2 linked regions of the Anolis sagrei genome follow. The protein of the gene in region 1 binds, or shares a complex with, the protein of each later gene. Links are inferred from orthologs where the notes say so. Each region holds a gene or a part of one and is shown on either strand. Other genes may lie near its edges. The genes, in order: GPR161 and GNAL.

Region 1 (16,105 bases):
TAGACTGGCACTGTGAACTCAAAGACCATAAAGCTTAAGGGAACTAATGTACAAAACTAATTAATCATAGAACCATAGAGTTGGACGAGACCTCGTGGGCCATCCAGTCCAACCCCTTGCTAAGAGGCAGGAAAATTGCACAAGGATTTAATGCAAGGGAAAAGAGCAGTCAAGCTTAAAAAAAATTACACAAATTATGGGGTCAAATCACTTCTCGCTGCATCTTTTTTATTTTATCTAAAATAGATAGGTGTATATTATTACCTGCTTTCTTGCCATTCATCTGCACAGGCAACTTTAACCATTCCTTGAGTGTTGTTTACACATCTTAAAGCATCAGTTGCATTGAACTCTATTCCGAAGAGAGATTCATGTTGAATCCTTAAGACGTTGTCTCCAAACATCATTTCTGGAACACATGGCATGTGTAGTTCTTCAGCTAACCTGGATGAAAACAAGGAGGCGGTTTAATTTCTCAGTACCAGCGGTTAGGAATTGTGGGAATTGAAGTCCAAAACACCCACAAGTTTGACCATGCCTGCCGCAGAGTGCTGGTGTCCCACCAGTTGTAGTTTGGTTAGGCACAAGCGCTCTTTGGCAGAGAAGGCGAAAGACCTTGCAAAGCAGCCACTCCCAGGATTTCACAGCAATTAGAGGAAGTCAAACCGCATTAATTGTGCAGTGTAGACACACGCATGGTGTACAGAATGTGTTATTTGGAGCATTAAGGGTCATTCGCATTCCTCAAATAGAACAATCACAAAGGGTAACCGAGGAAGGCCCCTTTGCGGGATGTGAGGAAGCCAGAGGGGGGCGGCGGCCCTTCCTAGCGCCCCTCTCACCTCTCGGACTCGGAGGACTTGATAATGTGCGTCCGGGCGGCCGTGAGCTTCCAAGGGCCGAAAGCGAAGTCCCGCCGGCTGCTCTTAAAGACAGGCATCATGGTGGCGGTGGCAGCGAGGAGAGCGAGAAGCGAGTGGAGGGTGAGAAGGGGCTCCTCGCCCGGAAGCCAGCCCCCACTTCCCCCCTTAGCACCACCGCCACCGGAAGCAAACAGGTGACGTCATTCCGCTTCCTGTCCCACCACCTGATGAGCGGAAACATGCTTACGCTTCCCTATAGGCACTTCCGGTACTCTTTTGCAGGGGCCTCTCTTAAGTTCTCCAATGTGGGTCTCTGGCAGGTATAGGCAAACCTGGGCCCTCCAGGTGTTTTGGACTTCAACTCCCACCATTCCTAACAGCCTCAGGCCCTTTCCTTTTCCTTTTAAGCGGCTGAGGGGGAAAAGGAAGGGGCCTGAGGCTGTTAGGAATGGTGAGAGTTGAAGTCCAAAACACCTGGAGGGCCCAGGTTTGCCTAAACCTCCTGTATTGGCACGATATTCATTTTAAAATATAGTAAAAGTGAATAAAGACAAATCAATATAACAACTTTACTGAATTATAAAATTAATTTTACTTATTATGAAACATGGATTGCAATTTTTATTTTTATTGGTGGGACAGCTTTACAACAACTAAATTTACTGTATTATGAAACATGGATTGTAATTTTTATGTAGAGTATTATTGGTGGGATTTAGCCTGTTTAGCCTGAAGAAGACAAGGCTGAGAGGAGATATGATAGGCATGTATATTTCCTGACTGTGAGAGCCGTTCAGGAGTGGAACTCTCTGCCCCGGAGTGTGGTGGAGGCTCCTTCTTTGGAGGTTTTTAAACAGAAGCTAGATGGCCATCTGTCAGGGGTGCTGTGAATGCAATATTCCTGCTTCTTGGCAGGGGGTTGGACTGGATGGCCCATGAAGTCTCTTCCAACTCTATGATTCTATGATTTTCTGCTTTGATATTCTGGGATATAGGGCTGTGTGGAAGGGCCCTTAGATTGGGTTGCTGTAAGTTTTTTGGGCTGTATGGCCATGTCCAGAGGAGATTCCACCTGAACATGAGGAAGAACTTCCTGACTTTGAGAACCGTTCAGCAGTGGAACTCTCTGCCCCGGAGTGTGGTGGAGGCTCCTTCTTTGGAGGCTTTTAAACAGAGGCTGGGTGGCCATCTGTCAGGGGTGATTTGAATGCAATATTCCTGCTTCTTCACAGGGGGTTGGACTGGATGGCCCATGAAGTCTCTTCCAACTCTTTGATTCTATGAGTCCCAGAAGCATTCTCTCCTGACATTTCGCCTGCATCTATGGCAAGCATCCTCAGAGGTTGTGACCTATGATGTAGAATGCTCCTTTCATTTCATAGTTTGCAGTTTTAAGAGACTTCTCCGTTACAGAAAAAGAAACACTATTGCTCATGAGTAACAAATAGCACACAAAACCATAACACTTTATCTGATACAGATGTGTAACTTTTTGTCCACTTTGTATTGCCAATTATATTAATTCTGTTATGATTGTATATACATAACAGTATGAGTGTACCTATATTTGCATTCCAATTAAAAGTTCATGACTTACATAGTAGGCCCTCCACTTTCATGGGAATTGAGGCCACAGGACCACTGCGGACATCTAAAAACCGCAAATTAAAGAAATTGTACTTTTTGCCAGAGAGAACACCTCTCTAGGAATGTATTGCCGAAGGCTTTCATGGACGGAATCACTGGGTTGTTGTAGGTTTTTCGGGCTATATGACCATGTTCTAGAGGCATTCTCTCCTGACGTTTCACCTGCATCTGTGGCAAACATCCTCAGACCTCACTACCTCTGAGGATGCTTGCCATAGATGCAGGCAAAATGTCAGGAGAGAATGCCTCTAGAACATGCCCATATAGCCCGAAAAAACCTACAACAACCCAAAACCTCTCTAGGAATTTCTTGGTCCTCCAATGTGACACTGGCGAACTTCTAAAAGAATAACATTGGAGGCCCTAAAGTCCCTCATCACAAGAGCATGGATCCACTTTAAATCCAGTTTCAGCCTCCTGCAGAATTTTGGAGTTTCTAGTTTAGTGAGCCCTGGGACCTCTTTGACTGAGTAGTTTAAAGGTCCCTCCCAAAACTACAAGCCCCAGAATTCTGCAGGAGGCAGAAACCGAATTTAAAGTGGATCTATGCTGGAGTGTGATGAAGTCCCTGGTTCCCAATGTGAGGCATGTCCCATACAAGGGGGCAATTTGATTTTAAGGGTGACAATTCAGGAATGAGTTATTAACAGTTATTTGCATTTATTATGGTTCTAGGGGCTTTATATACAGTATATAAACATATATTGTGACATTTGCAATTTTAAAATTAAAATGAGAATGTACACAGTGGTCAGCTGTTGACAATGGAGAGGGGGAAAGCCCACTAGAGAGGAGAGTGAAGAGCATACACTGAACTAAAGAGGTCATAAGCTCAGAAAAGGGAGACAACTTTCATTCCAAAAATCCCACTCTTCTTCTTTTAACATTGCAAGCAATACAAAAAGTATTTTGTATAATAATTAAAATGATCAAAGTATTACAGAAAAAGCTTCCATTAAATTATTTTATATTTATGCATTTCAGTTTCTATTATAGGTTCTGAAGCTTTATTTGCTTTTTTCATGTTGTTATTATTTTTTATTATTTAAATTATTTCTCTTTGATTACTTCCTCAGTACTTCAACTGTCCTTTTGCTCTTTTATTTTTTTCTTTCTTTCATGGATGTGATGTCCTTTGGAAGTTTGTTTAATGGCCTTTTAGACTTCCTCCGCATAAACAAGAATTCACTTTTTTTTAAAAAAAAATAAGAATTATATGCCACCGGGGGTTGCAGGTGGGGAGGAATCAGGATTTTAGAGATGCTTACATGGGGCATGGCCAAAAAAAGTTTGGGAACCACTGCCCTAGAGAATCCTAGAGAGACCATATCAACCCACAAATGAATCCACAATGTTAAACCTGCAAATGCAAAAGGCTGAATATAAGTAGTGTTAGATTATTTGGTTGATGAACCATTTGTGCTCTTCAGTCTATTTCTGAAGAGAGGGTGGAGAGAAAGAAAGTGGGAAAGAAACCAGCTGTTGTTCTTCCTACATAACTCTGTGGTTAGTGTCTGCTAGAGGCTGACCACAGACTACAGCAAAATATCTAGCGGTTTCTAGGGAGATCATTTTAATCAAATCCATGAAGAATTCAACCTGCAAAAGTCAAACCCACAAATTGGTGGGTGGGGGAGAAGCTTTACTCCTACTGAGAAAGACAAAAAAAAATCAATATAGTTAGACTCAGACCCCTTTCTGGATCTCTGGGCCTCGGTAATTTACATCATCACCACAACATCAGATTTAGCTGGTTTCAAGAGTCTATTCCATTATTATCAGTGCATTATCTAACCAACTGTGTTGTGGATAACTAGGTCTGCTGATAAAATGATCTGTGCCCGGCTAGTGCAAGCTAAACCAAATGTGCCAGGACAGAGAAATACTCACCAGGTTGAAGACAAAACACAGAGGTTTATCCAGTTCAGCCAAAAGGGATGCAAATACAAGCAGATGCTTCAAAGTGTAGAAGCGTAAAACATACAGAGAATGCAAGAGATCTTATAAGGTTTGACAACTATTCAAAATTCCCACTCCTTTCCCTGATTGGCTGAGAGAGGGGCTGGTCTGGATCTGAGACCTGAATGGCTGAAGGTGCTGCTGATGCTGCCTTCAGGTTGTGATTCCCTATCATGGGGAGATGACAGCTTGGAGTTGGTCAGCCGAAGAACCAAACAGCTGGTGGGGTGTCCCCTGGTAGGAGACGTCATTTGTGAAGACAATGTTTAAATAAATGATACTAAGCTCTTGATTGGCTCAATAGTCCAGTTCTGTGTTTGACAAAGATAGGGGTTTCTGCAGTCAAAGACATGAGATTCCCAAAACAAAGGTGATGATCTTGGGCATTCACAGTTTGGGCTGTCAGTCAATAGGTTTAACAAATGTAATAATCATCATCATCATCTTTATTTATACCCCGCCACCATCTCCCCAAAGGGGACGCGGGGCGGCTAACATCAGGCCAAGCTCAAAAATAATACAGCAAAGTTGGACACAAAACTACAGAAAAAGTTACATCAAAACAAAATAAATAAAGTAACAAATTAAAATAAACAGTGCAAAATAACATAATAAAATCAAATAGAAAGGGTGGGCCAAATGCACGAGATAAAATGTTAAAACGTTAAAACCCTGGGTGAGATAGGAATAAAAAGTATATTTGTGAGGGAGGAGTCCAAGAAAGGGGAGCAGTGAGGTTTGGCTTTATTAAGGACAGGGGGAAAGTGCATCATGAGGACAATTATAGATGGAAACAAACAGAATGGGTTGAATGTACACACTCTAAGCATCTCTTTCCATGGTCAGCAATCTCTCAGCCTCAAGTGAACCATTTAATCAGACAAATACCTCTTGGCTTATCTGGGCTGACATGGGAAACTATCTCTGTATACATGAACAATTGATTCTGATGATTGCCTGTCTGCAAAACAGCCAGAGGGATTTGCCCAACCTTCCAGTGTTTGGGAAGTGGCTCTTTGGAGTTATATAGAGGTGATTTTTCTCTGGCTACATCTTGCTACATTTTATATGGAAAAGTATACATTTTATATAAAAGAAATAGATATTGTATACAGAAAGATACAATTTACACAGATAGTCAGGGGAAAAGTGACTGGCTTGACTCTGAAGGAGTTGGGGGTGTTGATGGCCGACAGGGAGCTCTGGCGTGGGCCGGTCCATGAGGTCATTAAGAGTCAGAAGTGACTGAACGAATAAACAACAACAGCAAAGTCAGGAAAAAATAGGCATAATTTATTAAAGGGTTGGAACTATAAAGTCTTTGTGGGGGTGAAGCTGCTGTTGGTCCATTTCCGATCTCCACCGCTTCGCACCAGCAAAGTTCAAAGAAGTTAAGAAATTTCATAAACTTGATAAACTATTAATCTTTTGGGAGGAGGGGCATTGTGACTCGACAACTGTACCCTTCTTTCTGAAGTTCTTCCCAGATACAATCTTTGTTCTGCCTTTCTAATACATCATGTAATCTAAACAGAGAGTGAAATGTTGTTTAAAGTTAGCTATATAGATCATGTTACTTGGGATTAAGGAGAGGAAAGGATCACATGTTCAAATTAGTTATTTCTTAAAAGTTTATAGAGGAAACCAAGCAAGATGATAAACAAATTCTATTGTTAGCACCCAGTAGAATAGACTTTTGAGCCAATAATAATTTGGTTTTAAATGCCATGCTTCAATGGGTTAGTTCTAAGTTATGGTAACAAAAGGAGGTATTCCAAAATGTGTGGCTTTTAACTGTTCTTTCCTTGCCAGTGATCTGACCATCTTTACATACACAATAATAATCCAGATTTCCTTTACCAATCCAATGGCAGCATATTCAAACACTGAGCGAAAGTGTTATGGTCTGGGTTTTGGGGTAGAAGACATGTTTATCATACTTGTCAACATTTCATAGATAAAAATAGTGATTTCTTTCCCTGCAGCTAGCACTGTGTGACTACACATATACCTCCTTTTTCCTTCAGGCTTCTTTCCATCTGCTCTACATTAAACCAATCGTAAACAAAAAGGAAACCTGTGGAATGTTTATTCTTACAGTCTGATTGTAATGACTGTAGAAAAATTGCAGCTCCAATATGTTCAGTAACATTTACTACTGTGAGAGGCCAATGGGATAGAATAAGGGAGAGCACTGTAATTCTTTTACCTGTTGATGTGCACTTCTTGTGGACTGAAGTAAAGTTGCATCAGTGGTCCCCACCTGTCATACATTGCACTCTCTTTCCTCCTGAAGACAAAGAATGGAGAGCTAATGTAAGGATTAAATCAGTTTTATAACCTGAGGCTAATGCTGGCCACACAGCATTATAACAAATAGTTGTAATGTCTTATGACCATGTTTTTCAGCTGCTTTGAGTAATATAACACACACACACACATACAGTATATATATATATAGGCCCCTTGGTGGCGCAGCGGGTTAAACCACTGAGTTGCTGAACTTGCTAACTGAAAGGCTGGGGGTTTGAATCCAGAGAGTGAGGGGAGCTCCCACTGTTAGGCCCAGCTTCTGTCAACCTAGCAATTTGAAAATATGCAAAATATGATTAGATCAGTAGGTACCACTTCTGCTGAAAGGTAACTGTGCTCCATGCAGTCATGCTGGGCACATGACCTTGGAGGTGTTTATGGAGAACATTTCATCACAGACTGCCCTTCGACCAAAGAGACCTGGCAAAAAGTGGCCATCGTCTTTGACTGGCCGGACTTGGTGCTCCAACCTGAGGAAACAGTGGTCTCTGTAATGGAGCTGGAAACCAGGATTCGGGGGCCACGTCGACACCAAGGAAGGAAGAGGAAGAGAGGACCCAGCAGGGGGACACTCAGGAGGCCTTTTGGGATGTTTCTTGGACAATGACAAAATTGATCAACTTGTACGTTCTCCTGGCCCTGGTTTTCCAGAGATGTCAAGAACCTCTAGTGTAAATTGGGTAGCAGAGAAAATAGGAATGAAGCCGGATGCCCCCTAACTGATGGAAAAAGTTCTGGCCCTGGCTGGCAGAGACCACATCTGGGATGACCTGAAGGGTTGTAGGTTTTATATAGATAGATATAATTGATAGGTAGGGAGCCACTGGTGTAGATTAGCCCTCAGCCATCTTATGTGGAATTCCAGGTAAGGGATGCTGGGCATATAATGTGGGGGGGGGGGGGGTGTTCTCATTCTGGCACCACCCAGATGGCAGGAAACTCTGCCAGTGGGGATGGAAACTGAAGTGTGTTCCTCATGCCACTGGACTCGCGGGCTGCCGCTGAATCCCAAGCGCTGCCTCCTGCCCTCCCATGGCCATTCCTTCGGCCGAGAAAGAGCTGGCCTTGGAGAAGAACAGCAAAAATGAAGGAGGGCCAGAAAGGGAGATGAGGTGTAAAAGGGCCAGGAATGCCGGGGGAGGAAATGCTGCCTAAGTCGGCTGCTTTGGAATTGGCGGCCGACTTTTCCCAGCAAGGCGAAGAAGACGAGCCTCCCGCCAAGTGAGCGGGTGGAGGAGCCTTGCAAGGCAAGGGAGGAAGGAGGAAAGGCATCGGGATCCTCTTCTCGGCCCGCCGAAGAGGCCCAAAGTTGAGGGGGAGAAGGAGGGAGAGGAGAACAAAGGAGCGGAGGAGGGGAAGAGGGGGAAGGGGCGGCGCTGGGGGAGCTCCGTGGGCGGCGGCGCTGGTGGGGGGTCCCGGGAAGAGAGCCCGCTCCCGCAGCAAGGCAGCCCCCGGGACACACGGTGAGTGGCCTCGCACGGCGCCCAAGGGGGAGGCTGGGCACCGAGGAGGAAGGAAGGGGTTCGCCCGGAATGGAGCGCCATGCCCCACCTCTGGAGGGGAGACTCGCGGGAAGAGAGGGCCTCCCGTTTCGGGAGGGAAGGAGAAGGGGCTGCCTGTGTCCGACCCCGAAGAAGAGGAGGAAGAAGGAGAAGAAAAGGGGGAAGGAAGAGAAGGAGAGAAAGAGAAGGGAGGGAGAGAAGAGAGAAAGAAAGAAAGAGAAGCGGGGAAGATAGAAAGGGAAGGGAGAGAAAAACAGAGAAGAAAGGGAGAGCGAGAGGAAGAAGGGGGAGAGAGAGATTGAGAGAGAGAGAGAGAAGGGAGGAAGATAAAGAGAAAGGGAAGGGAGTGAAGGAGAGAAAGACAGAGAAGGAAGGAAGAGAGAAGGAAGGGAGAGAAAGAAAGATTGGAAGATAGAGAGAAAGGGAAGGGAGAGAAGGGAGAGAGAGAAAGGAAGGAAGGAAGATAGAGAGAAAGGGAGAAAGAAAGAGAAGAGAGAAAGAAGGGAGAGAAAGAAGGAAAGAGAGGAGGATAGGAAGGGAGGGAGAGAAGGAGAGAAAGGGAATGGAGAGCAAGAGAGAAAGACAGAAGGGAGGAAATGAGAGAGAAGGATTGGAAAGAGAGGAAGAGAGAAAGGGAAGGGAGAAAGAAAGAGAGGAAGAGAGAAAAAGAGGGAGAGAAAGGGGAGATGGAGAGAACTACAGAGAAGGGAGGAAGAGAGGGAGAAGGAAGAAAGAGAAAGAAATAGAAAAGAAGAGGAAGATAGAGAGAAAGGGAGGCAGAGAAAGGGAATGGAGAAAGAAAGAAAAGGGACAAAGATTGAGAAAAAGAGAGAAAAGGAAGAGAGAGAAAGAATGAAAAGAGGAAGTGAGGAAAAAGGAAAAGTTAGGGGAGAGAGGAAGGAGGAAGAAGGAAAAAGGAGGAGAAGGAAGCAGAAGGGAGAGGAAAGGAAGATGAGGCCCTTGAAATAAAGGCCAGCTTTTCTCAGGGCGCATCTACATTGTAGAACAGGCATGGGCAAACTTGGGTCCTCCGGGTGTTTTGGACTTCAATTCCCACAGTTCCTAACAGCCTCAGGCCCTTTCCTTTTCCCCCTCAGCCACTTAACCCAAGTTTGCCCATCCTTGTTGTAGAATGAGTGCAGTTTGAAACCACTTGTCTCTGTGCCATGGAATCAGGCTTCCAGTCTTCCAGACATTACAAATAGTGAGTCAACCGTCCCTGTGATATCCAGCAACAGGGAAAAGAACAGCTGAAGGAGTTCTAGGCTGCATCCACCAAATTATAGTGTCCAGATCAAGAGAAAGGACACTTTATTTGGCTTGTGTCCAGTTCTGAGCACCAAAGTTTAAGTTTGAAACTTGTGCGAGGTCCATAGGAGATGCAACTAAGATTACAAGGGGCATGGAAACCAAGGGTCATTTCACACCATACAGTTGTAATGCTGGGATTCCACTTTAACAACTACTGTTCCATCCTGTGGAATCCCAAGTTTTGCAGTTTCGGGAGAAGCTTTTAGAGTTTTCAGTGGGATTGTGCTCATGTCTCTTCAAGCTGCAAATCTCAGAGTCCCAGAGGAAGGCAAAAAAAAAAAAATAGAATCATAGCAGGGTAGTATGAAAAGAGTCCTATGAGCGATGGGCATATTTAACTGGCAATGAAGTGATGTGTGTGGGGGGAGGGGGGAGTATGTGGATGGATTGCTGATCGCACATATCATGTATCAATGAAGCATTGATCTAGAATACACCAAAGAGCCCTTCCCCACTGGCTGCACTTGATGATATGTAATGATTTTAAACCAATTAAAGATAGAATGTAAAATTATATCATTTAGAAAAGCACAGTATTCGAATGATACCTGTGTTTTTCTTCTTTTTCCAGGTGCCCAGCATGTCCTGGCTGTCCATCTTCCGTACGCTCTGATGATGAGCATCAACTCCTCTCTCAGCCACAAGAACGCCTCAGGGAACCTTACACTTCCAGAGAATGGAGTAGGCAGAATTACAGAGTCAATTGCAATTATTGTCATTGCCATCTTCATCTGTTTAGGAAACCTGGTCATTGTCCTGACCCTCTACAAAAGGTCATACCTCCTCACACTCAGCAACAAGTTTGTGTTCAGCCTGACTCTATCCAACTTCCTCCTTTCGGTACTTGTGCTTCCTTTCGTTGTGACCAGTTCCATTAAGCGAGAATGGATCTTTGGCGTCGTTTGGTGCAATTTTTCAGCCTTGCTGTATATGCTGATCAGCTCTGCCAGTATGCTCACGCTCGGACTCATTGCTATCGACCGGTACGCAATGTTTTTCAATAGAAGCCACGTGTCAGTGAGCAACAATGAAGTCTCTGTCTTATCCACCCATTCTGAGAGATAATGTGATTCAAAAAACCCAGTATAACCATGTCCTTAAACTAAATATTATGAGGACCTGTTTCCTTTTTCATGCCTATGTGCAGGTAGCAAAGCATGATTGAACTGATATGTCTTCTGTTAGGTCTCAGAAGCTGCTGTAAAAAAAATAGGAAGTCTAATCATTGGCCTGATGCAGCAGGCTATTCATATGTTATAAGTACAGGTTAAGTCTCCCGTATCTGACACACTTGGAACCAGAAGTATTTCAGATTATTCAGATTTTGAAATATTTGTATTGTAATGTATTTAAAAACACAAACAAAGTTAACAATTTGGCATTATGCTAAATGCCTTTTGACCAAGAGCTGGCCACTTGGAGTGCCTCTAGTGTCGTTGTGGGAAGGTCATCCATTGTGCATGTTGCAGGGCTCAGACTGCATTGTAGTAGGTGGTCTGTGGTTTGCTTTTCTCCACACTCACATGTCACGGACTCCACTTTGTAGCCCCATTTCTTAAGTGTGGTTCTGCATCTTGTGGTGCCAGAGCGCAGTCTGTTCAGCACCTTCCAAGTTGCATGGTCTTCTGTGTGCCCAGGGAAGAGACTCTAATTTGATATAAGCCATGGATTGAGGTTCTGTGTTTTAGCCTGCCACTTTTGGACTCTTGCTTGCTGAGGTTTTCCTGTGAGTATCTCTGTTGATCTTAGAAAGCTATTTCTTCATTTAAGGCAATGGCTTGCTGGCTGATATCCAAACAGGGGATGGGCCAGAGATGTCACTGTCTTGGTCCTTTCATTATTGGCTGCTACTTCCCAGCGGATATCAGGTGGTGCTAAACAGTATAATTCCTCCAGTGGTGTGGGGAGTAGACATCCTTTAATAATGCAGCATGTCTCATTAAGAGCCATATCCACTGTTTTAACGTGGTGAGATGTGTTCCACACTGGGCATGCTTATTCAGCAGCAGAGTAGCAAAGCGCAAAGGCAGATGTCTTCACTGTATCTGGTTGTGATTCCCAGGTTGTGCCAGTCAGCTTTCACATGATATTATTTCCAGTGTCCACTTTTTGCTTGTTAGTCAAGCAGTGCTTCTTGTAAGTCAGAGCATGGTCCAAGGTAACTCCTAGGTATTTTGGTGTGCTGCAGTGCTCCAGCGGGATTCCTTCCTAGGTAATCCTCAGAACTTGAGATGCTTGCCTGTTCTTAAGGTGAAAAAACACATGTCTTTGTTTTAGATGGATTAGGAATCAGCTGGTTTCTCCTGTAATAGGCAGTAAGAGCACCTAAAGCTTTGGAGAGCTTGCAGCATTTTGTACATGAAGCAAAGTTTGTGTACACTGAGCCATCAGACAGCAAAAGGTTCACAGTCTCAACCACCCATACGGACAATTTTGGAGTATTTTGGATTTTGAAACTCTAATAAAGGAATGCTCATATTCCTCATCCAATTTTAACACATGTAATTCAAAGAAATCAGTTCTTTGTGCTATGCAGTATGGAACTGCCTCACAATAAAATATCCATTATTTTGAACACCTCTGTAGTGTCACCAACAACTAGCCTTTGTGTGCGACATTGTACAATGCTTAAGATACTTACTTCATATGATTTCTCTGTAGAAGTCCTTCTGTCCCGTCCCCCCGTCCCCGTCCCTCCCCCCCAATTTCTGAGTAAGCAGTGATTTCAAACAAAGCATGAACTAGGTTGCAATTGATCCTATTATTATTTGTTTCTTGTATATTTCTTAGTTTGACTGCAGTCCTCCTTTTCTATGTTTCAGGTACTACGCTGTCCTATACCCAATGGTTTACCCAATGAAGATTACGGGTAACAGAGCAGTGGTGGCTATTGTGTACGTGTGGCTCCATTCTCTCATTGGGTGCCTTCCTCCCCTCTTTGGTTGGTCTTCCCTAGAGTTCGACCAGTTCAAATGGATGTGTGTGGCTGCATGGCATAAACAGGCAGGTTACACTGCTTTTTGGCAGATCTGGTGTGCATTGCTGCCCTTCATGATCATGATGATATGCTATGGATTCATCTTCCGGGTGGCTCGGATTAAAGCTCGGAAGATTCATTGTGGCAGTGTGGTCATTGCAGAGGAAGATACTCAAAGGAATGGGAGAAAGAACTCCAGTACTTCAACGTCCTCCTCGGGAAGCCGAAGGAATGCTTTCCAAGGGGTGGTTTATTCTGCCAACCAATGCAAAGCTTTGATAACCATCTTGGTTGTGATTGGTGCTTTCGTCATCACATGGGGGCCTTACATGGTGGTTATTACCACTGAGGCACTTTGGGGGAAAAACAGCATTTCCCCAACTTTGGAGACATTGGCAACATGGTTATCTTTCACAAGTGCCATTTGCCACCCTTTGATTTATGGACTATGGAATAAAACGGTACGCAAGGAGTTGCTAGGAATGTGTTTCGGAGACCGATACTACCGAGAATCATTTGTGCAGCGACAAAGGACATCCAGATTATTTAGTATTTCAAATAGGATTACAGGTAATCAAATGTGCCCTTTTTATTCTTTCAATGCTGTAGTCAAGGTAAATAAGTATCCAAATATTGGTTGCTCATGTTTAATGGGAAACATTCACATTTCATTATGCAGCTCAAAGAGAAAGTATGGTTTAAGAGCATAAAAAGAGTCATGTGAATCAAACCAAGGGTTAATGATTTCAGCATTTCATTACCACAATGACCAACAATATTTCAGTTGGGTTGCTGTCAATTTTCCAGGCTGTATGGGTATGTTTCAGAAGCATTCTCTCCTGACGTTTCGCTCACATCTATGGCAGGCATCCTCAGATGTTGTGAGGTCTGTTGGAAACTAGGCAAGTGGGGTTTATATATTTGTGGAATGTCCAGGGTGGGAGAAAGAACTCTTGTCTGCTTGAGGCAAGTGTGAATGTTGCAGTTGGCCATCTTGATTAGTATTTAAAGGGCCTTGCAGCTTCAAAGCCTGGTTGATTGCTGCCTGGGGGAGTCCTTTGTTGGAAGGTGTTTGCTGGCCCCGATTGTTTCATGTCAGTATTTTAACTCATTCCCAGTGCAGGTATAACAAGCTAAGTGATTGACTGGATCAAATGATGGGCTACCTTTGAAGAGTCTTCAGAAACTTCAACTGGCCCAAAGTGCTTTGGTGAAATTGTTAATAAAGCTGGCTACAGGGAGTGCAAAACCTCTCTGTTGCAACAGCTCCATTGGCTGCCAGTTTGCTTCCAGACACTATTCAAAGTGCTGGGTTGTAGCCTCTAAAGTCCTATATGACACAGGTCCAGGTTTTTTGACAGATCACATCTCCTGGTATGGACCTGCCCGGCCCCCTCCCTGCTGTCCTTCCAATGGCAGGCTAAAGACTTTTTATTCAGGTTTGAAAGGAACACGCCAGGAGAGGAAGATGCTGTAGGATATGAGATTATTTTAACAGTTTTAAAGTGTTTTGAGTTATTTTAATTGACTTGTATGATTAATTCTATTTTAATATTTGCATGTTGTGGATTTTAAATTGCTTCGTTTTTTTAATATTGTGAGTTACTTTGTGTCTTAATCAAGAGATAAAAATGGGATATAAATGATGATGATGTCATATATCCAGTCACTTCTTTAGTGTTTGTTCATTCTGAAATTCTTTTGCAGATTTAGGACTGTCTCCACACCTCACAGCTCTTATGGCAGGTGAAAGGACTTTAGGACATAGCAGTAGCACAGGAGATACAGGATTCAGCTACTCTCAGGATTCAGGTAATAATAATAATAATAATAATAATAATAATAATAATAATAATACACTTTATTTATATTCTGCCCTTCTTTTGATTCAAGGGGGGCTGAGTTTCATGGGGGGGCTGAGTCTGAGTGCAGGAGGGTCTACTCTAGCAAACCTTTTGTATTGTTACCCCAATCGTCCGTCCGTCCGTCCGTCCCCCCCCCCCCCCCCCAGGCCTACATGCCTGGTTCTGTGTCATTTTGGGGAAGTCGTTGTCAAAAAAATGTACCAAATTATTTTTTTCCCATGAGGTTGAAGTAACAATGGTAGGCTTCAGGGCCCAGCAGCTGCATGAAGTCCACAGGCCACATTTTGACCACTCCATATTAGAACATTCACATTGAACATGTGCAAGAAATGTGATGTGCCTGCTAAAATATCGAATACAGCCTTAGGCCACATTAACAGCAGCATCGTATCACGATTCTTCCAGTCTCAATGCTCAGTTTTTTGGGGGGAAATTGAAAGGCCAAGTTGAAGAGAAACAAGTAGAAGAGTAAAGCATGCCTCCCAATCCTCTCTGTTGCAGGTTCCTCTTGCTCATGTATTAGCACTACAAGAAAAATACAAACTTGAGAACTTCAAGGTATTCATAGTGTATTTCTAGCTCTTAGAATACTGTCAGTTCCTTTAAAATCCTTAAACCAATCTAGCCAAACTTGTAACATCAGATGACAGAGCTCAATTTCCTTCATCCCCAACAAGGACAGAAATGCCTACCTAGGAACTTACGGTGTGAAACATCTGGGGGACATTATGTTAGGAAGGCTGTCTTAAACTGAGATATTGTGGCATGCAACTAATCCATGATGCCCTTATTTTCAGGAACAGATGTCATGCTACTTGAAGACTATAGTTCTGATGGAATGCATCACCCACATTGTGTGTATCCTCATCGACGGAGGAGTTCAGTGACATTTGAAGATGAAGTGGAACATATTAAAGGTACACTGCGGTTGGATGTTTTAACTTGGAGCTGCATTGGTGGTGTAGAGGATTACTTGCAAAAAGAATTCCTCCATAATAATAATATACATTTTTTCTGATTTTAAAATATGTAATGTATATTAATATATTATACATCTATATAAATTAAAATGTAATGTTCATTTGTGGGATTGACATAATGCAAAAAACACTGGACGAACTGACATCAAATTTGGACACAATACACCTATTAGGTCAACAAGTGGCCATCACTCATAAAAATACTGAAAAACACAGCAGAAGAGACTTAAAACGCAAAAAATACATTAAAACACATGTGCAAAACCAGATACACACACATACATGCAAACACACATACAATATATACACATATACACAAATATATACACAAACATATATACACACACAAAAACACATATATACAGACTGGGTCACAGCAACGCGTGGTAGGGGACGGCTAGTAATATATAATACTACAGTATTATACAAATGATACCTTGTAGCCTTTTTGAGACTATGATCCCTTTTACACTGCCATATAAAATCTAGATTATCTGCTTTGAACTGGATTATATGGCAGTGTAGACTCATATAATCCACTTCAAATCAGATGTGGATTATCTACTTTGATAATCTGGGTTATATGGCAGTGTAGAAGGGGCCTGAGAGCAAGAGCAGTTTCTCTTAATTAGTCTCAAAGATGCTATGAGATCCCTTTGGATATTGATCCAGACTTTAATGGCTATGT
Region 2 (16,635 bases), on another chromosome or scaffold:
TCATTTACCATTTATCTGGTCCAATACAATTTTTAAAAAGACTTTCCAAAGACACATTGTGAAGACATTTCTGCTTACCAGCCAATATATATTATTGTGCAGTCTAAAAAACAATAACAGACTCCGTGGTTTATTTTTAGAACTGATACTGTAATTTAACTGGACTATTTCCTCATCTACGTGACAATCTACCAGAATATATTTAATCTTGATGAAGAAAGCAATGCATAATACAGCTACTATTAAAAAATATAACAGTATAAAAACAAATTTTGATCTTATTTTGTAGAATCTGTCAATGGAATATTTAAAACACTAATTTGGACACACTAGAGTACCATTTTCCCTGAAGATTTTTCTTCTTCTGGGAAATTAAATGCTTCACTTAGCTATCCCTATAGCATTTGAACTGTAAAAACAGCAAACTCCTAGAGAACTCTTATGAGTATTAATTTACAAATTATTAACATTGACAAAACTCATGGCACTTTACTTCCTTTACACACACACCCCCTTTTCTGTAGAAATCAATTCTGGGGCTGCTAAAAGGAAGATGTAGCAACAGGGCTATACTTATTTATATTATCTGTAAAAGATTAGGATTTGCTTGCGAAAGATTTCACCACAACCTAGAAGGACAGGAAAGCAGCTGTCTTCCTTCTGGTGAGATTTTTTTTGATAGTGCTGAAGGATTTTTATTTTGACCTTCATAATGCACAAAAACAGTGTAAACAAGGGGTCCCCAAACTAAGACTCATGGGATGGATGTGGCTCTCCAAGGTCATTTACCCGGCTTCCACCCTAAACTTTAAACTTAGGGTTGTCCTGAGTCTGAAATGACTAGAAGGCACACAATAACAATATTCCTAATTAACTTTTCCTTCTTACCACTCAAAAGTGTGGCGCAGTGGGTTAAACCCCTGTGCCGGCAGGCTGAAGACCAACAGGTTGCAGGTTCAAATCCGGGGAGAGGCGAATGAGCTCCCTCTATCAGCTCCAGCTCCTCATGCGGGGACATGAGAGAAGCCTCCCACAGGGATGATTTTAACAAACATCAAAATCGTCCGGGCGTCCTCTGGGCAACGTCCTTGCAGACGGCCAATTCTCTCATACCAGAAGCGACTTGCAGTTTCTCAAGTCGCTCCTGACAGAATAAAAAAAAGTCAAAAGTGTGAGAGTTGGTAAACGTGAATAAGCGGAATAAGCAGAAGCTTTACCACAGTATTAATTATGGACTTGGAGAAACGATGGCCACCAGGCTGGCTTTTTATTGTATTAATGTAATGTTTTCAACTGTTTATAATTATTGTTACTATGTATTTTATTGTGTTGAATTGTAGGCATCAAACGCATGCCGGTTGGAAGCCACCCTGAGTCCCCCTTAGGGGGTTGAGAAGGGCAGGGTAGAAGTACCCAAAATAAATAAATAAAATTAACCAAGGTATATCTTGCTGTATAATAAAATGTTACTCAGGCTTGTACAACAAGTAACAGTACTTAAATTCAAAGGTTCAAACATGGTAACGGTATGTATATACATCGGCCTCTTTGAATTCAGGCAGAGAACAGAGGAATAAAATAGTCTTTAAGCCTCATGCCTTAAAATGATCAGTCTTTAAAATAGTTGAAAGCCAGCACTTTCTCTTCACTGTCTTTGGGGAGATTTATAGAAGTTGTAGTTCGCCTACATTCAGTGCACACTATGAACCCAAACAATGAGGGATCTGGACCAAACTTTGTATGCATCCTCGATATACCCAAATTTGAATACTGGTGGGTTTTGAGGGGAATTGGCCTGAACATTTTGGAGTTGTGGGTACTGGGATTTATAGTTCACCTGCAATCAATGAGCATTTTGAACTCCACCTAAGATGGAATTGGACCAAACTTGGCACACAGAGCTCCCATGACCAGCAACAAATACTGGAAGTCATTCACCTTCTTTTAGGGGAGTTGTAGTTCACCTACATCCAGAGTACTGTGAACCCAAAGACCTATGGATCTGAACCAAACTTGGCACACAAACCTGATATGCTGAAATTTGTTTACTGGGGGGGTTGGGGGTTGGGGGGAACTGACCTTCCTTTTTGGGAGTTGTAGTTCACACACAACTAGAGAAACTGTGATGTCCACCAATGATGGTCCTGGACCCAACTTGGCACACAGAATCCCCATGATCAACTCAACCTACTGGAGGGGTTTGAGGGAACTGACTCACCATAGTGGGAGTTTACCCTACCGCCAGAGAGCACACTGAACCACACCAATGATGCATCTAGAGCAAAGTTGCCGCACATGTCCAGCTTTAATTACTGGAGTTTCTGGGGGTTAACCTAGCATGATGTGAGTTGCATTACAACCACAACCTTATTCATTTTGGGGGAAAAAAGGACTTCTCCCAATAACCCGGGTAATGCCGGGTCCCCAAGCTAGTGAGTTATAAAAACCATACCTCCTCTTCTAGAAAATGTATTAACAGTTGCAAATGGGCAACAAACAGAAAAGTCTTTATTGTGAATTGAAGTGCAGTTCTTTTGTTTACTAACAGCTAAACAATTTCACAGTCTGGAGGTGCCACTGGAAGTAGTATTTACTTTTAGCTCCACCTACACCATGCCTGGGGAAGGCCATCCTAAGAGACCACTTTGGGTAGCCTTTGGGTGCATCTAGATCAGGCATGGGCAAACTTTGGCCCTCTGGGTGTTTTAGATTTCAACTCCCACAATTCCTAACAGCCTACCGGCAACTACCCACAATGAATGCAGTTTGACATCACTTCAACTGTTATGGTTCAATGCTATGGAATCATGGGAGTTGTAGCCTTTAGCCTTCTCTTCCTAAGAGGGCTGGTGCCTCGCCAAGTTACACATTCCAGGATTTCACAGTGTTGATCCAAAGCAATTCAGGTGGTGTCAAACTGTATTCATTCCAGAATGGATGCATCCTCTGGCTGAACAAGAGAGCATCACCTGCTGCCTCCATCCTCTCATTTTGCTCAGCAGAGAGGTCATTTGGAGGAGAGAGAGCAGAGGAAGAGCAGGAGGTGACAAGGAAGGAGTGTGACAGAGCTGTGCCACAATGGGACTGGAATTTCCATTGTATCAAGAGCACCCATGTATTTCAAAGGGACGTTTTCCTGTTCATATTGAATGTAGATTAATTAAATGGTGAGTTCATTTTCAAATGCAAAAACCTGTTCATACCGAAATTGAAGGGCTCCCGAAAAGAAAATCTGTAAGAGCAAACAATTTAATAAGAAATATACCTCAGGCACAACATCCACAGTCGGAAGCAGAGACAAATTACAGGAAGAAGGGGAGGAAATGGGAAAGCACTGGCCCAAAAGGAAGATCTCTCTCTCTCTCTTTCACACACACACACACACACACACACTGGGGCTTGGATAACAAAACCTCCTCAATTACTTCATTGCAGTGGTCCTCAACCTCTGGGTCGCCAGGTGTTTTGGCTTACAACTCCCAGAAATCCCAGTTTACCAGCTGTTTACCAGGAACCCCCCCCCCGGTGGCGGAATGGGTTAAACTTTTCTGCCAGCAGGAATGAAAACCGACAGGTCCGAGATTTGAATCCAGGGAGAGTGTGGATGAACTCCCTCTGTCAGCTCCACTTCCCATGCTGGGACATGAGAGAAGCCTCCCACAAGGGTGGTAAAACATCAAAAACATCCCGCGTCTCCTGGGCAACGTCCTTGCAGACGGCTAATTCTCTCACACCAGAAGCAACTTGCAGTTTCTCAAGTCGCTCCTGATATAAAAAAACACCCCACAAATCAAAACATCAAAATATCCGGATGTCCTCTGGGCAACGTCCTTGCAGGCGGCCAATTCTCTCACATCAGAAGCAACTTGCAGTTTCTCAAGTCGCTCCTGACATGGAAAAAAACCCCCCACATATCAAAATATCCGGGCGTCCCCTGGGCAACGTCCTTGCAGACAGCCAATTCTCTCACACCAGAAGCGACTTGCAATTTCTCAAGTCGCTTCTGACACACACACAAAAAAAGCTGTTAGGATTTCTGAGAGTTGAAGGCCAAAACATCTGGAGACTCAAAGGTTGAGAACTACTACACTAGAGAATAAATCCAGTTGTTGCCTCCTGCAGAATTCTGGGGTTTGTAGTTTAGGGAGGAGCCTTTAACAGCCTCCCTAAACTACAAACCCCAGAATTCTCCAGGAGGCAGTAACCGGATTTAAAGTGGATTCATTCTCTAGTGTGATGAGCTCCTTGGGAGAAAGCCCCATTAAAACAGTGCCCCTTCTACAAAACAGTTTGCCTTTGGGATATTTGCCTTTGGTAATAACTAATACTAATACAGTGCTATGCTAATAATTATAATATATTGTATGCACATATAATATTGATAATAATATTGTAATACAATATAATACTAATAATACTACAATATAATTATATATTTTATATTAAATGTAATATTATTAATAATATTGCAGTATTATGGTATAGTAGAATATAGCAATATCTAAAACTAATATTGTGCTATGCTAATATTTATTTATTTACACCATAATAATATAATATGTTGTAAGCACATATAATATTAATCATTATATTGTATATACAATATAATACTAATAATAATACAATAGTATGATAATATATTTTATATTAAATGTAATATTATTAATAATATTCCAGTATAGTGGTATAGTACAATATAGCAATATCTACGACTAATATTGTGCTATGCTAATAATATAATATGTTGCAAGCACATAATATTAATCATAATATTTTATATACAATATAATACTAGTAATAATACAATAGAATAATTATATATTTTATATTAAATGTAATATTATTAAAACTATTGTAATATAGTGGTATAATACAATATAGCAATATTTAAGACTAATATTGTGCTATGCTAATAATATAATATATTGTAAGTGCATATAATATTAATCATAATATTTTATATACAATACAATAATAACATATAATAATTATATATTTTATATTAAATGTAACATTATTAATAATATTGCAGTATAGTGGTATAGTACAATATAGCAATATCTAAGACTAATATTGTGCTATGCTAATAATATAATATGTTATAAGTACATATAATATTATTGCAGTATAGTGGTATAATACAATATAGCAATATCTAAGACTAATATTTTGTTATGCTAATAATATACTATGCTGTAAGTACATATATTAATCATAATATTTTATATACAATATAATAATTATATATTTTATATTAAATGTAACATTATTAATAATATTCCAGTATAGTGGTATAGTACAATATAGCAATATCTAAGACTGATAGTGTGCTATGCTAATAATATAATATGTTGTAAGCACATATAGTATTCATCATAATATCGTATGTATAATATAATACTAATACAATATATTTTATATTAAATGTAATATTATTAAAATATTGCAATATAGTAGTATAGTGCAGTATCTAAGACTAATATTGTGTTATGCTAATAATATAATATGTTATAAGTACATATAATATTATTGCAGTATAGTGGCATAGTACAATATAGCAATATCTAAGACTAATATTTTGTTATGCTAATAATATACTATGCTGTAAGTACATATATTAATCATAATATTTTATATACAATATAATAATTATATATTTTATATTAAATGTAACATTATTAATATTATTGCAGTATAGTGGTATAGTATAATATAGCAATATCTAAGACTGATAGTGTGCTATGCTAATAATATAATATGTTGTAAGCACATAAAATAATTATCATAATATTTTATATACAATATAATAATTATATATTTTATATTAAATGTAACATTAATAATATTGCAGTAAAGTGGTATAGTACAATATAGCATATCTAAGACTAATATTGTGCTATGCTAAAAATATAATAATACAATATAATAATTATATATTTTATATTAAATGTAACATTATTAATAATATTGCAGTATAGTGGTATAGTACAATATAGCAAAATCTAAGACTAATATTGTGCTATGCTAAAAATATAATATGTTGTAAGCACATATAATATTAATCATAATATTTTATATACAACATAATACTAGTAATAATACAATATAACAATTATATATTTTATATTAAATGTAATATTATTAATAATATTGCAATATAGTGGTATAGGACAATATAGCATTATCTAATATTAATATTGTGCTATGCTAATAATATACTATGTTGTAATTACATTTAATAGTAATCATAATATTTTATATACAATATAATAATACAATAGAATAATTATGAATTTTATATTAAATGTAATATTAGTAATAACATTGCAATATAGTGGTATAGTACAATATAGCAATATATAATACTAATATAGTGATATGCTAATAGAAGTAGTATGATATAACTTGTAAGTCCCCTTCGGGGTGAGATGGGCAGCATATAAATTGTGTAAATAAATAAATATCCTAAAGCTGTGGATGCAGAACCTGCAGATACTGTGTCTGCCTGGAGTGGACCTGCTGCTGCTGACACTCAAGAGAGAGGTGTCTAGTGGGAGGGGCACCCTTTTGTTCGGAGCGCGCTGCCCCCTCGCCCCGCCCACTTTTTCGCCCCTTCCCTTCTTCTTCTTCTTTTTTTTCAAACCCGGCGCGCGCTCGGGGCTCTCCCCCTTTCCCGCGAGGCGACGCTGACGTACCCAAGAGCAGCAGGCGGTGCGTCTGCTTGTACTCGCGCTTCTGCTCCCGCAGCGCGCGGTCGATGCTCCGGCTCACGCGCCGCGCCTCCTTCTCGGCCTCGCGCTCCTCCGGGGGGCGCCCTCCTTTCTCCCGAGGAGGCGGGGGCAGGAGCTGCAGAGTGGGAGCTCCCCCCGAGGACGAGGCTGAGGCTGGCTCCGCTTTCCCCTCGCCGCCGTTCTGAAGGAGCAGCCGAGGCCCGTCCGCAGCTGCTGTTCCTCGTTTCCCGCCTTCCTCATCTCTCTTGGCTTTGGGCAGTGGGGAGGGCGGCTGAGGCGGCTCGCTCTCGGCAGCGGCGGCGGCGGCGCTGCTGCTGGAGATGGATGACCCGCCGCCGCCGCCACCGCTGCTCCCACCGCCGCCGCCTCCTCCTTCTCCGAAGAGCCGCGGGCGGAGGCTGTAGCAGAGCCCCATCTCGGGCGGTGCCTCGGGCGCTCAGCGGGGATGGCCGGGAAGGAGAAGCGTCGAGGCGAAGCAGGAGAAGGCGGAGGAGGAAGAGGTGGAGGAAGGGGAGGGCGGCGCGGCGGGGAGCAGCCCCTCCTCACAGGCCCCGGGACGCCCAGGATGCCTCTGCTGCTGCTTCTCTGCCCGCCGGCGCCGCTCCCGGGCCATGTTGCATTGTGAACGCTCGCCTGCCGCCCCCCTTCCTCTCTCCCTTCCTCTCCTTTCCTTCCTCCCTTCCTTCTCTTCTTCCTCCTCCTCGCCTCACATCACCTGACACGGACCCGCCGCTTTACCGTAAATACCCCAGCGCGAGCCCACCGCGCAGCTCGAGGGCACCACCAAAGGAAGGCTTGCTTGGGAAGGAAAAGAGGGAGGGAGGGAGGGGGAGAAGCGCGCGCCCAGGCAGAGAGGCAGAAGTACGCACGCGCAGCACACACATATACACACACACACACATTAGGACCAAGGAGGCAGACTGATGGACCGGACACCGAGGCACTTCAGGAGCCCAGGCGTGTGCACCAACATGCAGGTAGAAACTACACACACATACCCTCCAGGTATCTTAGACTTCTACTCACTCAATTCCTAATAGTCTGTAGGCTGTTAGGAATTGTGGGAGTTGAATTGTGGGAGTTGAAGTCCAAAACAACTGGAGGGCCCAAGTTGCCCGTGCCTGCAGTAGGGCCAAGGTACATGGATGGACAAACACAGAGATACTGTGTGTCCATAACACACATAAGCTGTTAGGAATTGTGACTGTTAGGAATTGTGTTAGTAAGCTGTTAGGAACTGTGGGAGCTGAAGCACAAAACACCTGGAGGGCCCAAGTTTGCCCATGCTTGCACTAAGGCCAGTGTGCATAGATGGACACACAGAGATGCTACATGTCTGCAACACACATAAGCTGTTAGGAATTGTGGGAGTTGGAGTCCATATGCAGAAGTACGCACGTGCAGCACACACACACACACATATATATATACACACACACACTTTAGGGCCAAGGCATGAAGACAGATGGACTGGACACCGAGACACGCAAACTAGGGCTTCTTCATTCAGGAGCCCATACGTGTACACCAACATGCAGGTGGAAACTATACACACATACACTAGTGCAGGCATGAGCAAACTTCGGCCTTGAGGGCCCAAGTTTGCCCATGCCTGCACTAGGGCCAATGTGCATGGATGAACACACAGGGATGCTGGATGTCTGCAACATACATAGGCCGTTAGAAATTGTGGGAGCTGGAGTCCAAAACACCTGGAGGGCCCAATTTTGCCCATGCCTGCACTAGGGCCAATGTTTGTCATATATATGTTGTGCTCCACCCTGAGACCCCTGCGGGGTAAGAAAGGTGGAATATAAATGCTTTAAATAAAAATAATTATAATCCAACAACAACAACACTTTATTAGTATTCCACCTCATCTCCCTGTGGAGACTCGGGCGGCTCACAGACACAAAAGGCAAATATTCAATGCCTTGTACTGTAATAAATAACTAATATAATTTAAATAAAAACAATTTAAATAGTATAAACAAATAGTTATAAAAGAAATAATAACTATCCTATAAAACACATTTAAACAACATTAGTAAAGGTTAAATTTAAATTTAAACAAATGCATGAGGATTTTGTTCAATACTCAAGTATATGGAAAGGCACACACACACACGTGTGTATGTTTGCAAACCACACCTAGCACATTAGGGTTTCATTCCAGTGCCAAGGTGTATGTATATATATGCACACAGAAACGTGTATGTTTATAACACACACACACTAGGGTTTGTTCAAGAGCTAAGGCATGTTCATAGATACACAAACATGTACAGAGATTGGCATGTGTGTCTACAATCCAACACACCTATATGTCTTCAGGTTTTGCTCAAGACTCAAGGTGCATATACAAACACAGATTCATGTGTATGTCTTCAAGCCAATACATGCACACACGAGGGTTTTGTTCAAGAGCCGAGGCATGTGCACCGAAGCATTGACAGAAACGTGTGTCTACAACCCACAACACACATAAACTAGGGCCAAGGTGTGTGGATCGACGTGCACAGAGACATTGTATGACTACAACACACATTTGGGTTTCATTCAGGAGCCCAGGCATGTTTGTGTGGCTCAGATTTGTGCATACATACAGAGGGCTAGGTATGGCTAGGATCCGCCATACACACAAGAGTTTAGTTCAGGAGCCAAGATGTGTGCATGGACACGCACGCACTGACAGGTGTGTGCCTCGAACCAACCAACCAACCACACACACACGTACACACAGAGACAGGCTTCCTTCCCTCATCTCGGCCCCAGGCCTTCTTTTCCCTTCCCCTCATGCCTTTTTCTATCACAGAGCCACCCCCTTTCCCGCTCTCCTTGAGAGGGGCACGCAAGGACAACCATTTCTCTTATTTCCCCCAGAGAGACCAGGAAAAAAGTCAGCGCTTGTTATTTCCCTGCTTGATTTCTCTCAAGGAGAGAGTGGGGACAACCCCTGTTTCTCTTATTTCACCGAGGCGAAAATCCTCCTCCTTCACAAACACAGCCAGGCCGAGTCAAGCTCGCCCACGCGCCGCATCTCATGTCTGTCACCAACGAGCCACCGCCGTTTATCGCCACTGCAGCATATCGCTGTCCCTCAGAGCCATTGCTTCCTTTCCTCCCCAACCCACAGTCATACCAACATTTCCCTTTGTTTTCTCTTGTTTATTATCTCGCCCTTGGAGGCCTTAGCAGTCTTTTTGGTGACTGAAATAGATGAAGACCTTCAGGAATCCTCCCTTTATGAGATGAAGACAATCTACAAGACCTTTTGGATGTGGTGCCAGCCATCTCATAAGGTGTTTTAGCAAGTGGCATTGATTAGTGGTATTTTGCTGGAAATGGGACAGATGGGGTGTCCTTTTTCCAGAATTCCAGAAAATGCTCCAAAATATTCCACATATTTTCCACATATCCGCATAGTCCTACTGAAGAGGGTTGTCCCCTTCAATACCTTTGCTTTCCAATGGTTCAGTGTACACAAACATTGGGTTGTTGTAGGTTTTTTCGGGCTATATAGCTATGGTCTAGAGGCATTCTCTCCTGACATTTCGCCTGCATCTATGGCAAGCATCCTCAGAGGTAGTGAGGTCTGTTGGAACTAGGAAAAAGGGTTTATTTATCTGTGGAATGGCCAGGGTGAGACAAAGGGCTCTTGTCTGCTGGCGCTAGGTGTGCCTTCGCAATACATTACACAAACATCGTTTCATGCATATTATTACAAAAAAGTAGTATGAAATTACAAGCTATGCGTAAAAGTCACTTTGAGTCCCCTTCGGGGGAGATAAAGCGGGGTATGAATAATAATAATAATAATAATAATAATTATTATTATTATTTTGGAGCACAATACTCCCGACCTCACAATCGTGGGGGGGGGGGGGGGAAGACAAATGTGGATCATCAATGTTGCAATTGCAGGTAACAGCAGGATTAATGAGAAGCAACTGGAAAAGCTTCGAGGATAGGAGGAATTAAAGATAGAACTGCAAAGACTAGCACAAGCCAATCAAGTTGGTCCCAGTGGTGATTGGCACACTGGGTGCAGTATCTAAAGATCTTGGCCTGCACTTAACAATTGGCGCTGATAAAATTGCCATCCGTCAACTGCAAAAGGCCACCCTACTTGGATTTGGACGCATTATTCGCCGATATATCACACAGTCCTAGACACTTGAGAAGTGTCTGACATGTGATCAAACACAATAGCCAGCATAGTGCTCTTCTTTACTGTGTATTAATCTTGTTAATGATAATAATAATATATGAAATGTAAATTAGTTTTGTGCTTAGATTTGAGTCCCACCTGCAACATATCATTATATAGTAAAGGTAAAGGTTTCCGCTTGACATTAAGTCTAGTCGTGCCCGACTCTGGGGGTTGGTGCTCATCTCAATTTCTATGCCGAAGAGCCGGCATTATCCCTAGAAACCTCCAAGGCCATGTGGCCAGCATGACGGCATGGACCACCATTACCTTCCTAACGGAGCGGTACCTATTGATCTACTCACATTTGAATGTTTTCGAACTGCTAGGCTGGCAAAAGCTGGGGCTAACAGCAAATGCTCACCCTGTTCCCCAGATTCGAATCACAATCTTTTGGTCAGCAAGTTCAGCAGCTCTGTGGTTTAACCTGCTGCATCACTGAGGACTCTCATTATATACATATATGCAAATACAGGTTTTAAAAAACCCAAACACTTCTGGTCCCAAACATTTAAAATATTTTGGAGAGAACTTGCAGCTACCTTGTGGGCTTGTAAGACATTTATCACTGGGTTTTATATAAAGGGGGAAAATAAATTTCACCTTAGATTCTTCCAGGAGCACTGTGGATTGTCATGAAGATTGCAGCACTCTTGGTTCTTTAAAACTTCAAGGCAGTGTTTCTTTTGTCCTTGGCTATTTTCTGGCAAGACCAGGTATTTACTGCAACATTTTATTCCCACCTGTAAAGGAGCCCGTTCATCCAAAAACCTATGAGAAAAAAAATCTTTTCTATTCTTTCTCGTTACTTTGTAAAAATAGTTTTTTTATTTATTTGTTTATTTTTATTTACTCTATTTATACCCCACTTTTCTTTATTCCAAAGGGGACTCAAGGCAGCTATATGTGGCATTTGTTCAGTGCTTTGCAACACATACAGACATTAAAAACTTAAAATCAGTTGAGTTAAAATTAATACAAGTTAAGCATTTAAAAATTACATTCAGTATTAAAATCACACCATCCAAAGATCATGGTCCAAGGCCAATTCCATAATCATTGCACATAAACCAATCTATATGGTCGTACAGAAGTCTCTGAAAGCCAGGTTCCAGAGCCACGTTTTTACTTTCCTTCTGAAAGTGAGGAGGGAGGGGGCTGATCTGATGTCACTAGGGAGGGAGATCCACAATTGAGGGGTCACCACTGAGAAGGCCCTGTCTCTCATTCCCACCAGTCGTGTTTGTGAAGAAGGCAGGACCGAGAGCAGGGCCATCCCAGACGATCTTAATCTCTGAGGTGGTTCATAGGGTAGGATATATTTGTACAGGTAAGCTGGGCCGGAACCGTTTAAGGCTTTGTAGGCTAAAGCCAGCACTTTGAATTATGCTCTGAAGCAGACTGGCAGCTGGCACAACAAGTGAGTTGTGTGCTCCCTGTACGCCGCTCCGGTGAGGAATCTGGCTGCCATCGTTGGACCAGTTGAAGTTTCCAAACAGTCTTCAAAGGTAGCCCCACGCAGAGTGCATTGCAGTAATTTATACATGAGTGTGGACCACTGTGGCCAAGTCTGACTTCCCAAGGTACGGGCAGAACTGGCACACAAGCTTTAATTGTGCAAAGGCTCCCCTGGCCACCATTGAGACCTGGGGTTCCAGGCTCAGTGTTGAATTTTATAGTTCTAGTGCTCTCGTATATCTGAAATGCTATATCTAAGGGGAAAAAATGGAAGAAGACAAGAGAAAACTTTCCCTTTAAGCAAGAGAACTCTCAGCAAACCATACCCCCATACCCAGATGAAGATCCATTAAATAGACACTGCCTCCTGAAAGAACAAATGGACTTGGAAGAGAAAATGATAATCAAAATGCAAGAAAATCAACTCACATTTCTTAGACCACTCTGAGAAAAGTCCTAGTTTTCTCAATAGATGTTATAAAGCAACCTGAATTCATCTATATGATGTTTTTTGTTAGATGCAAGCAGACCAAAGTGTTGCTCTCCACTCATCAAAATGAGGCCAAATTCCATTGCCATTTAAATTAACTAATTAATATAAAATCCACAAAACAGTGATGTAGTTATTAAACTAATTAAAAAAGAAGCCAGTGAAGCTTTGAAAGCTTGCGTGGTGTATTTTATCCTTTTTAGTTGGCTCAATAACAGGTGTCGCTGTTTTGTGGATTTTGTATTTTGGTGTATATAAGTGCATGGCCAACACAGCTAGTCCTGCATATATTTCATTAACATAAAATCGTTTTTGGGCGGGTGACAGAGAATAATCCATTTAATCACTCCAAAGGCCAAAATGTGATAACACCTTTTTAGGACAATCCAAAAGGCACAAAAACCTCTGTGCAAGTTTCAGAAACAAACATTTCTTCATCAAGCCAAGATGTGCAAAAAAGCCAACATGCTGGGGAAAATGGGAGGATGGAAGGGTATGATCACAGATTATCTTAACTAAACAAAAGCGAAAGTAACTTTTAGGCTGTTCTGAGTTTGGAGAGAATGGCCTTAGATCAGTGTTTCTCAACCTGGGGGTTTCAGAGGGGTTGCCAAAGACCACCAGAAAACATTTATTTCTGATGCTTTTAGGAACCCATTGGGTAGAGAAGGCTGATGATCTTTCCGGCTGTGCTTCTCTTCCTTTTTGAAACAGACAGCGAATCCTCCCACCAAAAGCCCTACTCCTCTGTGATTGGCCAGCCTCTCAGCCTAGGGGAGGGCTTTTTCAGAGAGTACAAACGGGGGAGAAGAGAGCAGGCGTGCTCGATGCATGAGAGCATGGTGCACATGTGTGTGTGTGTGTGTGTGGGGGGGGGGGAGCATGTGAGGCTAGAGGGAAGCTTGCACCAGCGAGTCCCTTCAAGGTATGGGGTTCTGTGTGGGAAGTTTGGCCCAATTCTATCATTGGTGGGATTCAGAATGCTCTTTGATTATTTGTTGTTGTTCATTCATTCAGTCGTTTCCAACTCTTTGTGACTTCATGGACCAGCCCTCGTCACCACCCCCAGCTCCTTCAAGGTCAATCCAGTCACTTTAAGGATACCATCCATCCATCTTGCCCTTGGTCGGCTCCTCTTCTTTTTTCCTTCAATTTTCCCCAGCATAATTGTCTTCTCTAAGCTTTCCTTTCTTCTCATGATGTGGCCAAAATACTTCATCTTGGCCTCTACTATTCTTCCCTCCAATGAGCAGTCAGGCTTTATTTCTTGAAGTATGGACTGGTTGGATCTTCTCGCTGTCCAAAGCACTCTCAGCACTTTCCTCCAACACCACAGTTCAAAAGCATCTATCTTCTTTCGCTCAGCCTTCCCTATGGTCCAGCTCTCACATCCGTAGGTGATTATGGAGAATACCATTGCTTTAACTATGCGGATCTTTGTTGCCAGTGTGAGGTCTCTACTCTTCACTATTTTATCAAGATTGGTCATTGCTGTCCTCCCAAGAAGTAAGCATCTCCTGATTTCCTGATTAATAGTCTTTGATTATAGGTGGACTATAAATCTCAGCAAATAAAACTCTCAAATGTCAAGGTCTATTTTCTCCAAACTCTACCAGTGTTCACATTTGGGCATGTTGAGTATTCGTGCCAAGTTTGGTCCAGATCCATTATTGTTTGAGTCCACAGTGCTCTCTAGATGTAAGTGAACTACAACTCCCAAATTCAAGGTCAATGCCCACCAAACCCTTCCAATATTTTCTGTTGCTCATGGGAGTTCTGTGTGCCAAGTTTGGTTCAATTCCATCATTGGAGTTCAGAATGCTCTTCGATTGTAGGTGAACTATAAAGCCCAGCAACTACAACTTAACCAAATAACAAAATCAATCCCCTCCCCCACAACCCCACTAGTATTCAGATTTGGGCATATCAGGTGTCAAATTTGATCCAGTGAATGAAAATACATCCTGCATGTCAAGTATTTACATTGCAATTCATAACACAATAGCAAAATTACAGATATGAAGTAGAAATGAAAATAATTTTATGGCTGGAGGTCATCACAAGCCCTATCACCGTCCTCCCCTCATGTTGATTCATGTAGGAACCAATGATACTGCAAGGCATACGTTTCAAAAGATCACAAATGATTTTCGAGCTCTAGGAGAAATGCTAAAAGAATGTAACGTACAGGTGGTCTTTTCATCCCTCCTCCCTGTTGTAAGACACGGACCCACAAGAGCCAGAAAAATAGTACAGGTCAATGACTGGCTTAGAAAATGGTGTCAGGAGGAACGCTTTGGCTTCCTCGACCATGGCCTGCTTTTCCAGGAGGATGGCCTACTGGCAAGGGATGGGGTGCATCTCACACAAGTAGGAAAACACCTTTTTGCTCACAGACTCGCAAACCTCATTAGACGCACTTTAAACTAGGTCCACCGGGGGAGGGGGACAACAGCCTTGCGAACACTACTTTACCCATAATGTCTGGGAATCGCCAGAAGGCTAAACGGAGGGCTGCACAAACACAACAAGGACCAAGTACCAAAAGCACAATAATCCCAATTAAACAGCTCAAGGGAAGATCCCAGGGGCTCACATGTCTTTACACTAATGCACAGAGCATGGGAAATAAACAAGACGAACTCCAACTTCTAGCACAACACCACAAATATGATATCATAGCCATCACTGAAACCTGGTGGGATGACTCCTATCGCTGGAATGTAGATATCGAGGGGTATAACCTCTTTCACAGAAACCGAACAAAGGGGAGAGGAGGCGGAGTAGCCTTATATGTCAAAAACTCTTATGCTGCAGAAGAAATTCAAGACAGCAATCTAGGAAACCAGCTTGAAATCATCTGGATAAGAATCAAGGGAACTGGGACTCAAAAAGATGTCGTTGTAGGCGTCTACTACAGACCCCCAAGCCAGGAAGAAGATCTTGATGAAGTCTTCTGCCAACAGTTGACCAAACAGGCACAGAAAAGAGATGTAGTAGTCATGGGCGATTTCAACTATCCCGATATTTGCTGGAAAACAAACTCGGCCAAGAGTACAAGGTCCAACAAATTCCTCGCTTGCCTTGCAGACAATTTCATGGTCCAGAAGGTAGAAGAGGCAACAAGGGGATTGGCTACTCTTGATCTCATCCTAACAAATGCGGAGGACCTGATCGATGCGGTCGAAGTGGTAGGATCCTTAGGGGCAAGTGACCATGTGCTCCTGCAATTTGAGGTACAAAGGAAAACCGAAACTAAGACAAGTCAAACCCGCATTTTGGACTTTAGGAGAGCTGATTTCCAAAAAATGAAGGAAACGCTGAGCAGCATTCCGTGGACACAGATACTAAAAGACAAGGGAGCTACGGATGGATGGGAATTTCTCAAGAGTGAAATACTCAAGGCGCAATTGCAAACCGTGCCAACAAAGAGAAAAAATAGGACAAGTGCAAAGAAGCCAGAATGGATGTCCAAAGAACTTCTAACTGTGCTAAGACACAAAAGGGACATGCACAAGAAGTGGAAAAAGAGAGAAATCACCAAAGAAGAATTCAAACAAATAGCCAACACCTGTAGGGAAAAGGTCCGCAAGGCTAAAGCAAAAAACGAGCTCAGACTTGCCAGGGACATTAAAAACAATAAAAAGGGCTTCTATTCTTATGTCAGTAGAAAAAGGAAAAACAAGGAGGCGATAGGACCTCTTCGAGGAGAAGATGGGGCAATGCTGACAGGGGATAGGGAAAAG

What was found.
Region 2: the proteins of GPR161 (region 1) and GNAL are in contact, whole or in part, in a cryo-EM structure (PDB 8KH4), measured with the Homo sapiens proteins. The link is inferred for Anolis sagrei from reciprocal best matches to the Homo sapiens genes GPR161 and GNAL. Residues at the interface, in NP_001254539.1 of Homo sapiens: Arg125, Ala128, Val129, Leu130, Pro132, Met133, Tyr135, Pro136, Met137, Ile139, Ile211, Val214, Ala215, Lys218, Ala219, Lys267, Ala268, Thr271, Trp327, Asn328, Lys329, Arg332; in NP_001135811.1 of Homo sapiens: Ala41, His43, Lys203, Val204, Phe206, Phe363, Cys366, Arg367, Asp368, Ile370, Gln371, Arg372, His374, Leu375, Gln377, Tyr378, Glu379, Leu380, Leu381.

Annotation. Positions count from the first base shown.
Region 1 is NC_090023.1:41,701,310-41,717,414, forward strand, and holds the start of GPR161 (G-protein coupled receptor 161), read left to right. Parts: upstream 1-7,973; 5' UTR 7,974-8,003; exon of another isoform or gene 8,004-8,029; intron 8,030-8,151; exon of another isoform or gene 8,152-8,245; intron 8,246-8,970; exon of another isoform or gene 8,971-9,488; intron 9,489-10,166; 5' UTR 10,167-10,207; coding exon 10,208-10,578; intron 10,579-12,417; coding exon 12,418-13,142; intron 13,143-14,279; coding exon 14,280-14,384; intron 14,385-15,234; coding exon 15,235-15,354; intron 15,355-16,105. Other genes in the region: TIPRL (TIP41-like protein), read right to left, coding at 265-444, 843-943. UniProt on the Homo sapiens protein: Key negative regulator of Shh signaling, which promotes the processing of GLI3 into GLI3R during neural tube development.
Region 2 is NC_090024.1:65,784,237-65,800,871, reverse strand, and holds the start of GNAL (guanine nucleotide-binding protein G(olf) subunit alpha), read right to left. Parts: upstream 7,558-16,635; 5' UTR 7,147-7,557; coding exon 6,696-7,146; intron 1-6,695. UniProt on the Homo sapiens protein: Guanine nucleotide-binding protein (G protein) involved as transducer in olfactory signal transduction controlled by G protein-coupled receptors (GPCRs).